2 linked regions of the Lonchura striata genome follow. The protein of the gene in region 2 purifies or fractionates together with the protein of the main gene of each other region. This does not show direct contact. Links are inferred from orthologs where the notes say so. Each region holds a gene or a part of one and is shown on either strand. Other genes may lie near its edges.

What was found.
Region 1: the proteins of ETAA1 (region 2) and ATR purify together in Homo sapiens (affinity purification with western blotting; 3 studies listed by BioGRID, with this or other methods). This does not show direct contact. The link is inferred for Lonchura striata from reciprocal best matches to the Homo sapiens genes ETAA1 and ATR.

Annotation. Positions count from the first base shown.
Region 1 is NC_134612.1:12,840,395-12,844,306, forward strand, and holds the start of ATR (serine/threonine-protein kinase ATR), read right to left. Parts: upstream 2,482-3,912; 5' UTR 2,474-2,481; coding exon 2,415-2,473; intron 1,776-2,414; coding exon 1,684-1,775; intron 782-1,683; coding exon 638-781; intron 99-637; coding exon 1-98. UniProt on the Homo sapiens protein: Serine/threonine protein kinase which activates checkpoint signaling upon genotoxic stresses such as ionizing radiation (IR), ultraviolet light (UV), or DNA replication stalling, thereby acting as a DNA damage sensor.
Region 2 is NC_134605.1:2,578,838-2,582,749, reverse strand, and holds the start of ETAA1 (ewing's tumor-associated antigen 1), read right to left. Parts: upstream 2,602-3,912; coding exon 2,421-2,601; intron 893-2,420; coding exon 755-892; intron 499-754; coding exon 422-498; intron 1-421. UniProt on the Homo sapiens protein: Replication stress response protein that accumulates at DNA damage sites and promotes replication fork progression and integrity.

The sequences.
Region 1 (3,912 bases), on a different chromosome or scaffold from region 2:
TAAAGAGCAGATGACATCACAAATGTTCTTGTGCAATGTGTTGCAGCTTGGAGCTGCAGCAATACGAAGAAGCCTTGTTATGATCCAGTTACTAAATTCTAGGACAATAAAAGAGAATCTTTATTATTAAGATAAAAACTAAACTCTCCAACTGAGAACCTCCCTAAGAGCAGATTGCTTACCACTAAAACTAAACACATTGAGAGAAATGCATGTAGGCATCGTAAACAGAGTCTTCACTGGGATATTTATTCAGCAGATCTCATTGAAAAAGAGGAAAAAAAAGAGGGGGAAGAACATGGGGGTTGGGAATGTAAGACACACACTTTACAGTGGAATTTCTAGACATTTTCCTCTGTCCAAAAAACACCCTCAGGCAATGAGTACATGTACACCATATCTCATCAACAGTATATAATGATATATCTATGCAATGGTAATGGATAATGTCAAAATCTGTCCCGAGAAATTTCCATTATCACAAGTGTTAATCCATTCACAATATTCAAAGTCTATCATCATATTAACTTATAAATTTATAATGATCAACTTACATATCTGCCTTTTTTCCCATTCTGTTGCAAATTTAAATCTTGAAAATACCAAGCTTCAACATAAACATTTTCAACAAACTCACCAATGCAACTGCATTCAGTTTCCTCCTGATTTCCATCCACATTTACAAACATAAGTGGGGAAGACTTCATGATATGTTGAATAAAATCCAGCAACATCACAGAACTTGGCTGTGAATCTGATTTCTTAATCAGTTCCAAGGCAACTTAAAAAAAAAAAAAAGAAGAAATCAGCATGGCAATAAACCACATAAAATTGCGCTTACACTTTATGAGAAAATAAAAAATATAAAATATTATGATATGGTATTAAACCCTTCAAAATATTTATTGAAAATATGTTTATTAATCTATGAAGATAATTGTATGCATATTGTAACCCTCTCTGTGACTCCAAACTGTATGAAGAAAAGTATGAATTACTTATTAAATATTATTAACCCCAAACGCATTAACATTCAGTTAAAATTCTATCCAACTGTGTATTGAGTGAAGAACAGCAAATACTTAACATTTCCCTAGGTTTACAGTCTTGATAAAAAAACAATGCTGGGAATTGTTTCAAATGCCCAGAATATAAAAGGTTTTAAATGGCAAAGTCAGCTTACTGAAGCAGAAAGTTTAACAAAACACTGAACATATCTAATGCTGCTCCATTGAAACAGGTATCTGACTCGTATCAGATTTATCCAGATCCTGCAGGGATCCTATCCAGTGTTAGTTAGAACAAGAAGGAAACTATCTGAGATTCAGACAAGATTTTAGTTCTGAAAGACACATGTGAATATTAAGAATTGCAAGCTCTGTTACTCATAGCAGTGACATTACATGACACTCCTGCTTTTCAATGTTGTGAGCATTCGTTTCCATACAACCCTGCACTACACTCACCCCTCCTTCCTTGGGGGTCTGTGTGTATGGTTTATTTACAAGGGAACTTCACATCCCAATGCGAAATACTTCATCACTGACTTTATTAAAAACTAGGTAATAAAATGGCATTGTATTCAACTAAAACTTTCTTAATAGTGTCTTAACTTTTATTTTTGGCAGGAATTACTTAAAGTATAAAGCAGACAGTTTTATATTAGAGGATTGCAATGCTTACCAACATCTACATCTGTAAGAATTCTGTCAATGAATTGGCAAAGTATTTGTCTTGGTTTCTGCACAACTGTGTTGTATTCTTCTGGACTAGCACTGCAATTAGAATGATATATTGATGTTACCAATTGTAAAGTACAAAATAATAACTTGGAAGTCTATCTCAACAGTTTAATGTTAAACACTCATTTTCTTCTAGAAGTCTTCAAAAATAAACATAAATGGTTTTCTTGGTGGTGTATAGTGGTTTGAAGGTGGGGGGAGGCGTGGTTGGGGTTTTTTTTCAATTTTCTTGTTTTAGTGACTGGCCTGTCCCACAGCAATCAGGTCTCGTAGGGTCACATCTTCGGTATACAATTGTACCTCCACATCAGCTCGCTGTTTATTGCTGTACAAAGCTACAGTGCCCGTGCTGCCATTAACACTGCAGAGGCCGGCATGCTGCAGCTCGCGTGGCTCTCAGCGAGCGCTCACAGCACACGCAGCCTCGGACCGGGCACTCTGAGGCACCAGGCCGCTCACGCCGGGATGTGCCAGCGCCACCCGGGAGGGAGAGAGGAGCACCGGGCAGGTGGCGGGAGAAGGGCCCAGCTCAGGTGAAGGCGCGGGCCCGGCCGCAGGACACCTCGCACACCTCCTTGTCCCCCTCCCCGCCACACCTGCCGGGCGCGCCTCCCCAGCGCAGCCAGCCCCGCACACACACGCCCTGCACGGCGGCCGCCGGGCCCGGCCTACCCGGCGAGCTCCCGCAGCGCGGGGATCATGGAGGCCATGCCCAGGCCCTGCTCCGCCATGGCGCCGCTTTGAATCAGGCGGGCGGCGCGGGGCGGGCGCGGCGGGACGGCGGCCGGCGGGGCCCAAACCTCCTCCCCCGGCGCTGCTCGGCTTTAACCGCTTCGTCCCCGGGCGCGGAGCGGCCGCGGCGGTTCCGAATCGGTCCCCGATGGCTCCCGCGGACCCCGCGCCGCCCCGGCGGGGCTCTGCTGCGCGGAGCGCTGCACGGACAGGTAACACCCAGCGGGGCCGAGCGCACCCCGCCCGGCCTCGGCCGGTTCGGCAGCAGCACTGAGGGGCCACACGGTCCCGGCGGGCGCCTGGCGGAGTACGGGATGCGCGACAGGAAGCGCCGCAGCGCTGGAAGTGGCTTAAGCGAGGAGGGGAGCGCCCGCGCTGTGAGGAGAAACTTCGCTGCCAAGGGAGCGCTCGGTGCAGCTCCCTCTCCGCCCGCCGCCTGCCCGCCCCGGCGGGACGCACCCGGGTGTCAGGTGCAGGACAGCTCCGCCGGCCGCCGGGACCGGCCCCAACGCCCCCGGCCCGCCCCCGCCATCGCCCCGCCCGCCCGGGCTGGCCCGCGGCAGCAGGTGGTGGCGGGACCCGGCGGGCGCCGGCGCTGCGGGACGCGGCCGCGGGGCAGGTGGGCAGCGAGCGGGGCCGGGGCCGCTCTCGGCTGCTGCCGTGTGCCGGGGCCGGCGGGAGCGGGGCCGGGGCCGCTCTCGGCTGCTGCCGTGTGCCGGGGCCGGCGGGAGCGGGGCCGGGGCCGCTCTCGGCTGCTGCCGTGTGCCGGGGCCGGCGGGAGCGGGGCCGGGCCGAGGGCGAGCGGAGCCGGCGGGCGGGCGCGTTCGGCAGGTGAGCGCGCTCGGCGCTCCTCCGCACAGGTAGTGGTGAGCAGCGTGTGTAAGATAGAGCTTTTCTCTTTTGCTGTTGTTGTTACTTTCTGAGCACATGTTGCTTTGCGTTACGTTTCTTTTGCGAGCCGTTGGCGTGTGTAGAGTTCGGAAGGTGCCGCGGAGAGCCCCGGAGGGACGCGAGGCGGGCGCTGAGCGGGAGCGTGTGGCCCCACCTGGGCAGCGAGTCCCGAGCGTTCAGGAGAAAAAAGAATAAAACAAGGGCTTATGGGCAGGTGTGAACTGCAGAGAGAGTACGCGAGGGGACACTCAACTCTGAGCTTTGTTTTTGTTACTATGAGCTCTGGCTCTTTATGCATTTGTTTGTGAAGTTTGCTTAGCGTTGTTTCTGGGTTGAAATAAAATCCTCTCGGAGGATAATTCTCTTGCGTGTTTCCACTGTGCTAGGGCTGTGTCGCTTGCATGTAAAACAGCCCACGTGTGTTTCAATTACTTGAACCATTTCAGATTAATGCTTTCGGGAACCTATTGCTATATTTCATTCAGAGATAGTTATTTTTATTCTGCAAAATATATGTTTGTCATTTCAGTAAAATTCTGCTGGCCTC
Region 2 (3,912 bases):
GTTCTTGTAAATCAGCAGTCAATCAAGACCGTTCAAAATGCTTAAAAACAACTGCCAAATAAATCCAGTATTTGAAGAAAGTCTTACCTTTTAACAGATGAGTAATTAAGGATTAAAAAAACAGTATTCTTAAGACCAAGGGCAGTAAACCTTGTATTCTGAAAGTAAACCTTTCTAAAATACAGCTGCTGCAAGTTTCTTCATGTGTCCTTTTTTACAGCATCTGTGACTCACACAACAATCAGTAAATGCTATGCTGACTGTTTTAATTCAATCCCATTCTATAAACTAGTTTTCTACATGCCAAACTCTTACCATGACACTACTGTAACTAAAACCAAGGCTAAAACTTAAGCACTATTCCCTTTTTATTACTACACATGCAGAGCATTGTTTTAGAAAGTTACAATTACACAATTACCTGAGGAGCAATACGATTAACGATTTCCGAAATTTCTACTGCACATCTACTGGTAGACTGCTTGCTTTTTCCATTGCCTATGAAAAAAAACAAACTTCTTAAAATTTTGAAATCTATCCAGTTTGTGAAGTGCAGTACATCTCAAATAACTCAAATAGGCCTGTAAACATCGGAGATTGATTCAGTGCTGTACTGAAGAATTTATAGGTTTATAACGAAAGTAAAATCAAACAACCGTTGTAAGAGAAAAGAACCTTCTTCCAAGGAACCATTTATAACTTTTGCTACACTCGCACTCAAACAAGTGTCCTGCAGTTTGGATTTTGGTATTACCTAATCTGTGTGCAATTGGTGAATGAGAATCCCAAAAGATTTCTTGCTGTGTCTCAGTGTCATTAATAGGAGAGCTGAAAGTAGGTATTCGGGATTTCCTACTCAATGATCTCTTTGGTGTCTTATGTAAACATGGCTCTGTGTAAAAACAAAGAGGACCTTTATTAAAAAACAACAAATAAAAGGCAAAAATCACTTAGAATACAGAACACGTCAAGGCAAAAGAAAATGCTTTGGGAACATCAAGAATAAAAATCAAGTTCACACACACCAGAATTGCTTTACTCACAACAGGAATACTGTTCATAACTAGACATTAAATACAGGACTCTGCCAATTAAATCCCCACAGAGATTAGAGAAAATTACATGATACTGACACCTTTGCACCCAGGAACTGATTGTAATGATGTCAGTTCTTACACTTGAGAGAACACTGACTTAATCTTCTATTAAGAGAAAAATTATGTATACCTCTATGAGAGAAGATTTTGTATTCTTGCTTGCTTTGTGTCTTTCACCCAGACTCTGAGCTGAACTACTTTTTTAATGGGCATCCAAACCACTCTGGGTCATAACCTACATTTGTCTGTATTTCCTCCACTGAGCCCTTCCAGCTAGGACTATTAAAAGCAGGAATATAGCTATTCAAACCTGCTTGCAGCTGCCTTTGATCAGTAAGTGAACTAAACACACTATGTGAAACTCAGCTAGTCACCCCTGCCCTTTAGAAATGATGCTGTGGATGTGGAAGCCTACAGAAATAATTTAAAAGATGCTATCACTACGGGAGGAACATCTTAGAGGATGTTTTGCCCTGAAGTGCCTAGCATGGCCATAGTGGTTTTATCCTCTCCTCGGTTAGTTCTCAGTATTTGCTGTGGGAATCACAGAATAGGTCAGGTTGGAAGGGAGCACACTGGGTCACCTTGTCCAACCTCCCTCCTCAAGCAGGGTCATCCCAGAGCACAGGCCACGGGATTGTGCCCAGATGGTTGTGGAATATCTCCAGCGAGGGAAACTCCACACTGTCTCTGGGCAACCCACTCCAGTGTAGGGTCACTGTACAGCACAGAGGTTCTTCCTCATGTTCAGGTGGAATTTCCTGTGCATCAGTTTCTGCTTGTTTCTTGTGCTACTGCTCAGCACCACTGATCAGAACCTGGTGTTTGGATATTTATATTTAGAGCAGAACTTGGCACCCTCCCTTTGGATATTTATACACATTGATGTGTACCCTCTGTTTTTTTTCGCGATGCTAAACAGACCAAACTCCCTCAGCCTTTCCTCGTAGAAGACATTCTCCAAACCACTAACCAACTTTGTAGCTGTCTGATGGACCTGTTCCAGGAGCTGCATGTCTCTTGTCCTGAGGGGCCCAGAACAGGTCACAGTATCCCAAATGTGGCCTCAGCAGGGCTGAGCAGAGGAGCAGGCACAGCTGCCTTGACCTGCGGGCAATGCTCTTCTCGCCGCACGCCAGGTACCACTGGCCTGCCCGGGGCACGCTGGCTCAACCTGCTCTCCACAGCAACAGCCCTTCCTTCCCAGGGGCCGAGCGGAGATTTACAGCGCACCAACCCCTCCTCACGGCTCGGCCGCGCCTCCCCCGCGGTCCGAGACACGGCGGGCAGGCCCGGGGCCCCCGGGGGCCGCTCCCGCCGTACCTGCAGCGCGGGGCGAGCACGCCGCCTCCCCGGCGGGCAGGCCTCGGCCCGCGCCGCCTTCCACCGGCCCCTCCTCCGCGGGGAGCTCCGCCCGCCGCCGCGCCCGCTGCTCCTCGCCGCCGCTGCGCCTCCTCAGGGCGGCGGGCCCGAGGGACAGCCCCCTCCGCCGGCTACCGGGCATGGCGGCCGCTGCGGCAGCACCGCGCCCGTCCCGCCACCGGCGGCGCCGCCATTTTGCCGGGCGGCTCGCCAGGCCGCCGCCGATTGGCCGCCGCCGCGGCGCCTCCAGCGGCCATTGGCCCCGCGCTGCGGGGCGGGCGGGCGGACGCGGCGGAGAACTGCGGCCCCGCCCCGCCGCCCGTGAGGCGCTGCCGGGTTCAGCCGTACGTGAGGGCTGCCGGGGTCCCGGTGCCCGTGAGGGCTGCCCGGGTTCAGCCGCCCGTGAGGGCTGCCCGGGTCCCGGTGCCCGTGAGGGCTGCCCGGGTCCCGGTGCCTGTGAGGGCTGCCGGGGTCCCTCTGCCCGTGAGGGCTGCCCGGGTCCCGGTGCCTGTGAGGGCTGCCCGGGTCCCTCTGCCCGTGAGGGCTGCCCGGGTCCCGGTGCCTGTGAGGGCTGCCCGGGTCCCTCTGCCCGTGAGGGCTGCCCGGGTCCCTCTGCCCGTGAGGCGCTGCCCGGGTCCCGGTGCCTGTGAGGGCTGCCCGGGTCCCTCTGCCCGTGAGGCGCTGCCCGGGTCCCGGTGCCTGTGAGGGCTGCCGGGGTCCCTCTGCCCGTGAGGGCTGCCCGGGTCCCGGTGCCTGTGAGGGCTGCCCGGGTCCCTCTGCCCGTGAGGCGCTGCCGGGTTCAGCCGCCCGTGAGGGCTGCCCGGGTCCCTCTGCCCGTGAGGGCTGCCCGGGTTCAGCCGCCCGTGAGGGCTGCCGGGGTCCCTCTGCCCGTGAGGGCTGCCCGGGTCCCGGTGCCCGTGAGGGCTGCCCGGGTCCCTCTGCCCGTGAGGCGCTGCCCGGGTCCCGGTGCCTGTGAGGGCTGCCGGGGTCCCTCTGCCCGTGAGGGCTGCCCGGGTCCCGGTGCCTGTGAGGGCTGCCCGGGTCCCGGTGCCCGTGAGGCGCTGCCCGGGTCCCGGTGCCCGTGAGGCGCTGCCGGGTCCCGGTGCCCGTGAGGGCTGCCCGGATCCTCTGCCCGTGAGGCTCTGCCCGGGTCCCGGTGCCCGTGAGGCGCTGCCCGGATCCTCTGCCCGTGAGGCTCTGCCCGGGTCCCGGTGCCGTGAGGCGCTGCCGGCTCCCCCCGCCCGGCGCTGCCGCCGCCGTGGGGCGGTGAAGCCCTGCTGCCGCCGGAGCTGGGGAAGGGCGATGCTCAGCAGGGCAGAGGGGCAGGGTGTGCCCTCCTGCGGGACTTTGCTTGGCCTGAGGTGCCTTGAATTTACCCAGTAGCAAACTGTGGGATGACACCCTGCTGGGTGGGAATGTTGTTGCGCTGGAGGGCTGGAAGGCTCTGCAGAAG